Linked DNA regions of Ovis aries. The protein of the gene in region 1 purifies or fractionates together with the protein of each later gene. This does not show direct contact. Links are inferred from orthologs where the notes say so. Each region holds a gene or a part of one and is shown on either strand. Other genes may lie near its edges.

Evidence for each region. Proteins that work in one complex are often made in the same cells at the same time.
Region 2: the proteins of AMFR (region 1) and ERLIN2 purify together in Homo sapiens (affinity purification with western blotting; 4 studies listed by BioGRID and IntAct, with this or other methods). This does not show direct contact. The link is inferred for Ovis aries from reciprocal best matches to the Homo sapiens genes AMFR and ERLIN2.

Annotation. Positions count from the first base shown.
Region 1 is NC_056067.1:23,704,568-23,710,793, forward strand, and holds the start of AMFR (E3 ubiquitin-protein ligase AMFR), read left to right. Parts: upstream 1-2,584; 5' UTR 2,585-2,776; coding exon 2,777-3,043; intron 3,044-6,226. UniProt on the Homo sapiens protein: E3 ubiquitin-protein ligase that mediates the polyubiquitination of lysine and cysteine residues on target proteins, such as CD3D, CYP3A4, CFTR, INSIG1, SOAT2/ACAT2 and APOB for proteasomal degradation.
Region 2 is NC_056079.1:32,112,739-32,118,495, forward strand, and holds part of ERLIN2 (erlin-2), read left to right. Parts: intron 1-676; coding exon 677-738; intron 739-914; coding exon 915-1,040; intron 1,041-4,604; coding exon 4,605-4,678; intron 4,679-4,838; coding exon 4,839-4,897; intron 4,898-5,538; coding exon 5,539-5,630; intron 5,631-5,757. UniProt on the Homo sapiens protein: Component of the ERLIN1/ERLIN2 complex which mediates the endoplasmic reticulum-associated degradation (ERAD) of inositol 1,4,5-trisphosphate receptors (IP3Rs) such as ITPR1.

The DNA.
Region 1 (6,226 bases):
GTTTCAGCTTTAGCATCATTCCTTCCAAAAGAACACCCAGGGCTGATCTTTAGAATGGACTGGTTGGATCTCCTTGCAGTCCAAGGGACTCTTCAAGAGTCTTCTCTAACACCACAGTTCAAAAGCATCAATTCTCTGGCGCTCAGCTTTCTTCACAGTCCAACTCTCACATCCATACATGACTACTGGAAAAACCATAGCCTTGACTGGACGGACCTTCATTGGCAAAGTAATTTCTCTGCTTTTCAATATGCTATCTAGGTTGGTCATAACTTTCCTTCCAAGGAGTAAGCGTCTTTTAATTTCATGGCTGCAGTCACCATCTGCAGTGATTTTGGAGCCCCCCAAAATAAAGTCTGACACTGTTTCCCCATCTATTTCCCATGAAGTGATGGGACTAGATGCCATGATCTTCGTTTTCTTAATGTTGAGCTTTAAGCCAACTTTTTCACTCTCCTCTTTCACTTCATCAAGAGGCTTTTAGCTCCTCTTCACTTTCTGCCATAAGGGTGGTGTCATCTGCATGTCTTAATAGCCCATTAAGATTTGACAAGTTTGGTGTATGATATTTTGTAACTGTATTGTGACTTGGATTGAATGTGGATTGTAGGATAGTGTGGTTTAAAATTTATGGGAGAGTCAGATAAAGTAGAACATTTACTTCTGTGGAAAATTACATCCCTTTTTCAAAGTGAAATTTTAATTTACCAATACAATTGTAAGTTTAGCATTTTAATCAAATGGCTGCAGATAGAGAATCAAAGGGCACCGAAAGTGTAATCATACAGATCTCATATGAAAAAGTGTGTGTGTGTGTAGGCGCTCATCCTCCCTCCCTGGTAAAAGCCAAACTGTTGTGTTCATCACAAGGCCTTTAATAGGATGTTTCTAAATATTGCAAATTGGATAGTAATAACCTTGAGCTGAACCATCTTTTGTTTTCTAACTAATAAATTTTTAGTATTAGAATACTGGGCATGAGACTTTGAACATAATTTAGTCTTTTGCCTTTGAAAGTTTGTAAGACTCGACAAATATTTGCTGAACACCTACTCTACATCAGGCACTTGTCAAGGCCTTAGAGATACAACAAGGAATAAGTGCTACCCCCCAAGGTAGCACTTTTGTTCTGTAGTTCTTTTTTTTTTTTTTTTTTCTGTCTTTTTTGTTGTTACAGCCTTATTGGGCTATAATTTACATAATTCACCATATAACTATACAAATAAAGATTTTTAGTATATTCAGAGTTCTGCTACAGTCACTAAAATTTTAGAACATTTTCATCACCTCAAAAAGAAATCCATGTTTAGCTTTTATACCTGTTTCCTCATCTCCCTATTGCTCATCAGTCATTAACCTACTTTATGCTTCTGCCTATGCTGGACATTTCATATACATGGACTTGCACTATGTGCCCATTTGTGTCTGTGCTTATACTTAGCACATTTTCAAGCGTTGTCCTTGTAGCATGTTTTCCTACTTCATTTTCATGGCTGACTACTATTCCATTTTAGGGGGTAATCCCTTATTTATCTATTCGTCCCTTGAGTGACATTAGGGTTGTTTCTAACTCTGACTGTTAAGAATAACGTTGTTATTGACATTTGTGTGGACATTTTGTGTGGCAGTGTGTTTTCATTTCTCTTGGGTATACCACCTAGGAATGGAATTGCTAGGTCAAATGGTCACTCTTAGGTTTAAACTTTTTGAAGAGCTGACATCACTTTCCAAAATATCCTCACTATGTTACATTCCTACCTGGGGTATGAGGGAACACATTTTTATTTCCTGATGTTGAAGCTGAAACTCCAATACTTTGGCCACCTGATATGAAGAGCTGACTCATTTGAGAAGGCCCTGATGCTGGGAAAGATTGAGGGCAGGAGGAGAAGAGGACGACAGAGGATGAGATGGTTAGATGGCATCACCGACACAATGGACTTGGGTTTGGGTGGACTCCGGGAGTTGGTGATGGACAGGGAGGCCTGCCGTGCTGCGGTTCAAGGGGTCGCAAAGAGTCGGACACGACTGAGCGACTGAACTGAACTGAAATCAGGTTCACTTTAGACTTCGCCGGGTGTTACTAGTAAACAGCAGAAACTTTATTTGCGAGGAATTTGAGAGTGTTGATTTATTGTCTTTCCATGGGGCCAGGGCTTCTATTATTCCCTGAGCACTGTCTCCTCTTTCAGCCACTTGGGAAGCTCCCAGGCCCACAGGGAGGCTCTGGGGTAACTTGCTTACGGGGAGGTTAAGGAAACTAAGGACAAGTGGCCGGACGCCCGGTGGCCCGGGTCCCCGCGTCCCGCGGGTGGGCCCACGCGGCCAGCGCTCGACCGCCCGTCAGCGCCGTCGGGCCTGAGTGACGCTTGGGCCCGGCCTGGGGCGGGTGCCCTAAGCGTCCGCGGGCCAGGCCGAGCTAGAGTGTCGGCGGAAGATAATGCTGGGTGCTGGGCCGCAGGGCCTGCGGCCGGGGCCTCCGCCAACTAGGCGGCAGCGCGACCGCTGGGGGCGGGGGACCGAGGCCGCGCCCCCGCGCCCGTCCCGCCCGCACCCTGCTGGGGGCGGCGGCCAGCCCCGAGCCAGCCGAGGCTCTTCCGCGCCGGCAGGGGCAGCAGCGGGAGCGGCGCGGGGCGGAGCGGCCAGGAGCGGCCCGGCCCGGCCCGGCGCGGTGGCGGCGGCGGCGACGCCAGAGCTCGTGGGCGCCGTTCGCGAGGCCGCCGGGACCCGGCCGCAGCGCGGGGAGACCTGGGGGCTGGAAGCCGCCGCTGCCGCCATGCCGCTGCTCTTCCTCGAGCGCTTCCCCTGGCCCAGCCTCCGCACCTACACGGGCCTCAGCGGCCTGGCCTTGGTCGGCACCATCGTCAGCGCCTACCGCGCTCTCAGTCAGCCCGAGGCCGGGCCCGGGCCCGGGCCCACAGAGGCGGAGCCGGTAACGGCCCCGGTGCAGCCAGACCCGGCCGCGCTCGTCCGGCCGAGCGCCGGGGGACCCCGGGCCCGCGACGTGGCCCAGTACCTGCTCTCGGACAGCCTGTTCGTGTGGGTGAGCGAGGATGCCGGGCCCGCCGAGGAGGAGCGCAGCGGGGCGAGGGGTGGGGGCCGCCATGTCACCCATTATCTGTGGGGGGCGTGGCTGGGGCCGGGGTCCCCTCCCCCCCGGACCCCGGAGTGTGAGGCGGCGGTGGGGGGGGCCCGCCCGCGTACGGCCTCCGTGGGACCCGGTGAGGGTTGGGGTGTGGCGGTGGGGTCGTGAGGGGCAGCGGGTCCCCGGGGGCGGGTGGTCTTTGAGGGCCTGAGGAAGGGACTTTGGGACGCGGTTGGGGAGGCGCAGGGGGCGGGGCGCAAGGGAACGCGGCGGCCGGCCAGGGACGGGCGGGGGGAGGAGGTGGGGGAGGGTTGGGAATCCGGGGAGAAGTAAAATATGGGGGGCCGAGTTGGGGTTGCTGGGGGGCCACCAGGAAGTAACTGGAAGACCTCAAAGGGCAGTCAGTTACCCCGGAGTTGGGAAGGCTTTTCGGACGCGGTCAGGCAGGGAGATGTTATCGCGTTTCACGTGTAAAGAGAAAAGAGACAGAATTTCAGTTGTTGAGCATAGGAGAATTTTGGGCATCTGAGTGTGTTTGGACGTTGTTTGGAGAGGGACCGTCTCCCACAGCGTTTTTTTTTCTTTCTTTCTTTATTATTGTCCTCTTTGAGTGGACCTACAACAAATACAAGACTGTGCTTCCTTTCCTGCTGATTTTTACCTGGTGATTCATGAAAGTTTCCTTTGATGTCTGAAGGCAGCCAAAACATTTGGAGTCGGGAGATGTCTCTTCATTTTAACTCAGGGTTTCTCCTGCTAGTGATCCATGTTAAAACAAGGTCTCCAGTTTGTCTGCCAGTGTAAGATAAGCAGCGTTTAGGAGGCATAAATGCTAGTTTCACTTATTAGAACAGATAATTTCAGGCAGGCAGATCAACAGTATTTTGGCTAAGGAACTTGGTTTCCAACTTGGCCTTTGAATGCCACATAGAAATCCCACAGTGATCAGGAAAAGTTGTTCTGGGACTGAAGTCTGTCCCTAGGGTTTGCTGTGGTGTCTTGAGTCTTGTCTCCTCCTGTAAGTTCCCATTTCGGTTGAGAGTCGGCTGTAAATGACTGGGGTTAATATTCCAAGTATACGGAATGATACACAGCTCATTTGTTGTAATTAATCCCACTGTGCTTCATCAGGAAGCAGTGGGATTTATGAACTCTGTGGGTGTAGATTAAGTCTCTTGGTCCTTCTGATGAAGAGATTAGTAGAAGGAAGGGAAGGGTGAGGTTCCCTTCTTCCACTGCTGTGTAAAGCTGAACCTTAGAGTAGGGAAGAAGGGAGAAGAGAAAGAACTCAACCCATGTCTCTTGTTTAATGTATGTTAAACCTAGATTTTTAAAAATCTGTTTTTTGCATTTTAATTAGATAAAGTAATGTGAAGAGTGCTTTTGTCAAATGTTGAGATTATAATATAGTCTTTGATATATATATATATTTAAGTATAAGATACAAGTAAGCCTTTGAGATGGAACTGCTATAGTGTTTAACAACTGCTGCTGCTGCTGCTGCTACTAGTATTGCTTAATCGGAGAAGGCAATGGCAACCCACTCCAGTACTCTTGCCTGGAAAATCCCATGGACAGAGGAGCCTGGTGGGCTGCAGTCCATGGGGTCGCTAAGAGTCCGGCACAACTGAGCGACTTCACTTTCACTTTTCACTTTCATGCATTGGAGAAGGAAATGGCAACCCACTCCAATATTGGGGGAGTGGGGACCGGGGAGCCTGGTGGGAGGCCGTCTGTGGGGTTGCACAGAGTCGGACACAACTGAAGCAACTTAGCAGCAGCAGCAGCAGTATTGTTTAATGATTACCCCCCCAGTCTCTTTGTACAAAACTCATTCCAGTTCCAAGGTTAGCACCTCTTCATAAAACATTACATAAACATAAAACATTAAAGCCTGTTGATTTTCTGTGAAAATTATGATTTTTAAGAAAATTTCCTTTTCTTCCCAGCTTTTTCAACAGAGATCTTGCCTCCAGTGAGTTTATGATTTCTTCCTCTCCGTGGATGATTTTTTTTTCTTTTCTCAGTTGGTCTTGCTGCTGTTCTTCCATCTTTTCCTCTGTGGTTTTCACACTTTTATCTTGGTTTTCCTTGGTTCCTCGGAGAAGACAGTGGCACCCCACTCCAGTACTCTTGCCTGGAAAATCCCATGGACGGAGGAGCCTGGTGGGCTGCAGTCCATGGGGTCGCGAAGAGTCGGACACGACTGAGCGGCTTCACTTCACTTCAGACCTTCCATGTGTGCATTATCAGTTTTCCTCATCACCCATTACTTAAGTTTCTGCTCTAGTAGCGGAATAGGAGTTGCAATCTCCAAAGCCTTCCTCTGAGACCTGCCAGATAGCATAATTAAGTGAATACATGGTGGAGTCTTTGTTAAAATGGATCCTGTTTTTTGTTTTTGTTTTTTTTTGCTCTGCCCAAGGACACTCATTCAGTTTTTAAAAAACAAGCAAGACAAAAAAATCTTTCTGCCAGTTTGTAAAACCCTGCTAGCTATTATTTTGCATATTGCTCTCTAAAACTTATTTTCATAGGGCACAGTTTAGATGAAAATAGCTAGGAATATGTCTTCTTTCTAATTAATGTCCTAGTGATTTTCCTCTCGTTAATGGTTGAGAAACTGATCAGGGAGAGGATGGGCTGATCAGGGAGAGGATGGGGTAGGGGGTGAAGGTCAGGTTATGTAAACCTTGCCTGCTCTGTTAAGGAGTGTGAACGTTATTTCATGGGCAGAAGGGTTTCAGTGGGAGTAGAGGGGAGAAGGCGCTGTCATGATGAGAGGATTTTTTCAGGGGGCACCTGTGGCAGCAGTGGGGAAGATGGATTAAAGACTCCAGCTCCGAGGAGAGCTCTCCTGGTGGCCCTCTGGCATGGATATTGAGAACAGGTTTGAGGGGAGGTTCTCAGTGTGTTACTCTTAACAAATACCCAGATTTGTCTTGATTGTTTTTTTCTTTATGTCTTTCTAGAACTTCCATTCCAAACTTTCATTCCAGATTAGGTTTTATTTTGTTATTTATTTCTAGGCTAATTTTACATTGTTCAGATGTCCCTTCCATTAAAGTGTCTCCTGATCCTTTTCCATCATTGTTTTGAATTGTTCAGGTGTTTCTGGCTTTTCAACTTTGCTAATCTTAC
Region 2 (5,757 bases), on another chromosome or scaffold:
AGCTTTAGGAATGGTATTGTGACTCTGTAGGGGACTGTCATCATTCTTAGGTGATTGGTGCTTGCCAGGTGTTGGTGGGTAAAGTATCCTGACTACAGCTTGCTTTGAAATGTTCAGCAAAAAAAAAAGAAAAAGTAGATAAATCAATAGGTAATAAAATGTTCATGATTGTTAAAGTCAGGTGTTGGTATATGAGTGTTAGTTGTACTGTTCTTTTCTGTATGTTTCAAAGTGTTTCCTAATGAATATTGAGGGCAAAGTAGGGAGAGGGCTGAACTAAAGTGATGGTGAAAACCGTGAGAAACACTGACCCAAACATTCCACGTTTTAAAGTTCTGAGAACCCCGTGACCTTGCTTAGTCTTTCCCCTGCGATTGGTAGCTTTATTCAAAAGTCATTGCAGAGTTAAAACATACAAACTACACTTCTTGTATCTCAAAAGTTTCACTTTTGTCCTCGTGGAGATGTTTTTAGGAAGTATGATTTCTCAGGAGATTATGATAGAAACTCAGAAGGTCTCCTGCCTTGAGATCCACACACCTGTGACCCCCATGAACCCTCCTCCTTTCCTGCCAAGTCCCACGCACGCGCACACATACATAGCACCACCACCCCGGGAGAGGCCCAATGTTCCCAAGCTCAGCACTGACCACGCTGTCTGCGCTTCCTCCAACAGCGGTGGTGTGATGATCTACTTCGACAGAATCGAGGTGGTGAACTTCCTGGTCCCACACGCAGGTACCTCCCCTAGCACACCTCACCCCCTCCCCCGAAGCCCACTCTCCCTGGCATCATCCCCGAGTCTCCCCCCACCCAACCCCCATGTCTGTCATAGCATCTCGGGAAGGGACAGCCCGTGTGTCTGAGCGTGGCAGGTCCTGCCCTCCTCACTCTGAACGTCTCCTTCCCCGCAGTGTATGACATAGTGAAGAACTACACAGCCGACTACGACAAGGCACTCATCTTCAACAAGATCCACCACGAGCTGAACCAGTTCTGCAGTGTCCACACGCTTCAGGAGGTCTACATTGAGCTCTTCGGTAAGAAAATCTCTTCGGATGATCACCTGCTGCCTGATTCAGCTGCCCACAGGGCAGGGTGGGTGTCAAGGGACCGGAGTGTTGAAGATCCAGTGCCCGGGAAGCAGGCAGTCACACGGGGCACTGCCAGGAAACACAGGTGCCGATGGAAGAAGATGGTGAGAGTGGCTGAGTGTTGGACACGGGAGTCATAGTGAGCGATAGGACTCGCTCCTGCCCTGCGTCAGACCTGGGATGGAAATATGTTCCCATGTCCCTGAACTTCCTTCTATAATGAAGAGGGGTCAGTTCCAGAAGAACCTTAGAGATTACCCAGCCCAGCATCCTCCTTTCAAGATAAGGATACCAAGGTCCCGAGGGAGAAAGTCCCAGGGCTGGCTGGGAGCAGAGGTGAAGTCCAGACCCCCCTCCTCTGGCTTCTGGCTGCATCCACCTCACCCTGGATGAAGGGCGCCAGGACAGGGTGATGAGAACCACGGGGTTACATTTTGTTGTTTGCTTCAGTGTGTTTTTATTTTGGCCGCACCACAAGGCATGTGGGATCTTAGTTCCCCAACCAGGGATCGAATGCACACCCCCCACACTGGAAGCATGCAGTCTCAACCGCTGGGCCTCCAGGGAAGTCCCAACGGGTCACATTTAATTCTAGAAGTGGGACAAGGACTGTAACTACTTAAGAGTCCCTAGAACCTGTGTGGCTTTCGGTTGTTGTTAGTGATGGTTTTTTACCCTGTACCCATAGAGAAGAATAGGAAAACACTTAAAACAGAAAGGACCCACTTTGGTCTTAAGTTGACACTTTCTTTCCTTTTTTCCTGATCAAAGAAAACATAGCCTGACTTCAGCAACAATGAAAAGAGGCATTTCAGTAATTGTTATAGCTCATTTGGGATAAAGTGTTCTGTTAAATTCACTGCTAGGAGTGTTCTAGAAGCCAGGGCTAAAAGCAAATGAACTTTGCAACCAGTGGTACCACTGTTCTTAATGCCAGGACCAGACAGTGGTTTTCCCCAGGATTCTTAATTTAAAGGGCCTGGAGTGAGAATATCCCATAGACAGAGGTGGAGTCGTTGGCGACACCAGTGATCTTAACTAGGCAAACAGCCTTTGGCCCTCTGTTACAAATTTGGAAAGTCATCAGAAGCCATTTTAACTTTTCTGCAGAATAAAATGGGTCTAAATTCACTTTATGGACTTTGAAGTCTCTTCCCATGTTTGGATTTGGTGTGCTATTGAGAAAAATTCAGTAACTTTGCTATTTTTTTGACCTCAACCCGATAGAATTTCATAAAATATCCTTAGTTTTCTCTCTAGCCATCGTTTTAGAACTAGTGCCAGTAAATGAACATTACAAAGCGTTTGCAACAGCGAAAGATCTCTAATTTCTATGCAGAGAGAATTAAGATGTGAAATTGTTCTGCATTGGAAAACTCACTGTCTTGTCTTGCAGATGAACTTGGCAGTGCAGTAAAGTAAAGCTTTGTGTACGGAGGAGCTTGGGATTTATGTTTGCGTTGGAATATTTTCCTTTTTAAAGTTCCTTCTTGCCAGCTAGCACTGTTTTGCTTAGCATCCATTTGCATCTGCAAAGGAGAAACTCGAGTCTCTAATCCTGGGTCCTGATAATGGAAGGGTTTTCTCTGGCCCCCTCCTCCCAGTACTCATAGGCCTAACTTTCAGCTTGATGCAGTTTTTATCACCGCTTACACCGAGGCATCCATGTTTCCCGTTTGATGAAAGTGTTATCCAGTACTTTGTGTTTACTTAGTTCAGTTCAGTCACTCAGTTGTGTCCAGCTCTTTGTGACCCTGTGGACTGCAGCACACCAGGGCTTCCCCGTCCATCACCAACTCCCGGAGTTTACTCACAGTCATGACCATCGAGTCGGTGATACCATCCAACCATCTCATCCTCTGTCGTCCCCTTCTCCTCCCACCTTCAATCTTTCCCAGCATCAGGGTCTTTTCCAATGAGTCAGTTCTTCACTTCACTTAATCAGTTCTTAACTTAATCAGCGTTGTCAGCATAACCATCACACATAAACAACTTGGTCCTGATGTAAATTTGTTAGTAAGGTATCTTGTAAAATATTTCCTCTAGATTTTCCTGGAAAGTTACTAGCCCAGGGCCATGGGTATCTTCCTTGACTCAGATAGAATTTAATCTGAGAAACAACCATGTTATTAGCTTATGGAGGATATGAGCTGTTTCCCTTAAAGTTTGGCCAGTCTCTTATTTAAAATAGAAAATATGGAATGTCATGTTCATCTCTAGCCATCAAATTGTTACACCCATGTCAGGTGTGAGGTGCTGCCCTTATGGTCTGCCTCAGTGCTGAGAGGCTGGTGGGAGCATATGCATATGTAGAAACATTAATACCCCTTGCTTAGTGATATGACTATTGAAGAAAGTACTGTTCTAAACCCTAACGATCAAAGCGTAATAATTAAACAAGTTCTTTATCTTGACTCTTGATTAGCTTAAGCATATCCCCAAACCTCTGTGGGCCTCAGTTTGAGCATTTATAACAGGCAGGGAGTTAGACTTGCTGTTTCTCAAAGGCTCCTGGACCAAGAATGGCCACGTAAAGCAGCTGGCCGCTGACAATAAAGGAGGTGGTTCCATGTAGGTGTCCCAGGCTGGTTTCAGGGTGTCCTCTTCTCAGGGCCCTTCAAGAAGCTTATTGATCTTGTGGGTGGGGGCAGGGAAGGGAAGGCCCAGGCCAGCGCTGACAGCCTGTTCTGGGGTCACAGCTAGAGCGGCGATCAGTTGCAGATCTTCTGACACTTACCCATAAAATGACTCACAGACAGAAGAATCAGAACCAAGGCAAACAACACATCAAAAGACTCAGGCTCAGGACTTCCCTGGCAGTCCAGTGGTTAAGACTGCGCTTTTAGGGCAGGGGGCGTGGGTTCAATCCCTGGTCAGGGAACTAAGATCCCACAAGCTGAGTGGCTCAGCCAAAAAAAAAAAAAAATGTTTTAATGTTTAAAAAAAAACTCAGACTCCTTTCCAGAACTGTACATTGTCCTTTTCCCCTTGATTGATGGAGTACCTGATGGAATTAGTCTTCCTTGGGGCCTCTCTTGATGTCAGAGTCTGTTTTTGTTTTAGAAATTTATTAATAGATTTAGTGTGTTTGACTCCTTTCAAAATACCTGACGTGGCCGTTCCACCTTCCTTCTTTGTGAAAGATGGGTGGCCACCTTCTCTGCTGCTGTCTGTAGGGAAGGGCTGCTTCCTGACTCAAGAAATGTGCTGGAGTTGTTGTTTGTTCTTTTAAAGCTCAGTTCCCTTCTGGGCGAGGTTGATGTTTTCTTGAGGCCCCAGGGAAGGGACACTCCCTTCTGGCCACGTAGCGGGCCCAGTGGGTGTCCGCCGTGAGAGTCTTCCAGGGAGTCTTTGGATGTTCGAGCTCTGAGGAGCGCTGTGCCTCGGGAAGAGCTTTGGCCCGTTGGGTGCATTCCTGAGCTGGTGTCTTGCCTTGCTCTCTACCCCATGCTTCCCTCCACCCCTCCTAGAAAACATCTCAGCTCTGTGTTCTGTCTGTCTTGATTCCAGATCAGATTGATGAAAATCTCAAACTGGCTCTGCAGCAAGACCTGACCTCCATGGCCCCCGGGCTCGTCATCCAAGTGAGCACCACCCTGGTGGGACACCCCCGCCCCGCCCCCACCCCCAGGAAGGCACAGCCCCTCTTCAGAGGGTGTCCTGTCTGTGCAGGAAGACCAAGGGCCCGTGGGAGCTGGTCGCTCCACACCCCACGCCCCAATCAGGTGCTGTCTCTCTCTCCAGGCTGTGCGGGTAACAAAGCCCAACATCCCAGAAGCCATCCGCAGGAACTACGAGCTGATGTGAGTGCCCACCTGGGCGGAGGCACCGCCCTCCCCGCCTCCTGCTCATCCCCTCCCAGGGCTGACCAAGCCTGGCGCGTGTGTGGTCCCCTCTGGAGTGTCTGGACGGCCGTCACCCTGGAAGACAGGACAGGCGGGCCGGGCCGCTCACTGAGCTCCGTGAGCAGAGGGCACGGACGCTCTTCAGAGGGTGGGGCAGTCTTGTGTCCCCTCACGGCTCATGCCGGATAGGACAGGAAGGTGACTGAGTGGGCAGGGGGGTGCCTTTCACTCAAGTCACTTACGCTTTATTGCTCACAAGTGGGTTTTGAAGGAGAAGGCTAGCCGTGTTAGTGTCTGCAGCATATTCGCCTTCACCTGGGACCTTAAGGAGCCTTCCAGGGCCTTCTCTGGCAGTCAGTGGTTAAGACTGCACTTCCAGTGCAGGGGCCGTGGGTTCAATCCCTGCTCAGGGGACTAAGATTCCATATGCCGTTCGGCACAGGCAGATTTACAAACAAGACCAGACCTCCCAAGGGTGGAAGGAATGACAGCTTACCTCTCACGACAGGGCAGCGGGCTTGGCTTCCCCGGGGGCCAGGGAAATTCTGAGGAAGCTCGTCCCCAGTGGCCTCACAGCTGCACGGTTTTTTCCCCTTCAGGGAAAGCGAGAAGACGAAGCTCCTGATCGCAGCCCAGAAGCAGAAGGTGGTGGAGAAGGAAGCCGAGACAGAGCGGAAGAAGGCCCTCATTGGTCTGACTTTGCTTCTGGGGTCCAGGCGACAGAGGGGCTGGCGGGGTGGGGAGGGCAATTCAGGAATCCCGGGACACGGCCCCCCGAAGCCTTGCCCCACGCAGGAGCAGCCTTTGTCTCCCGGGAG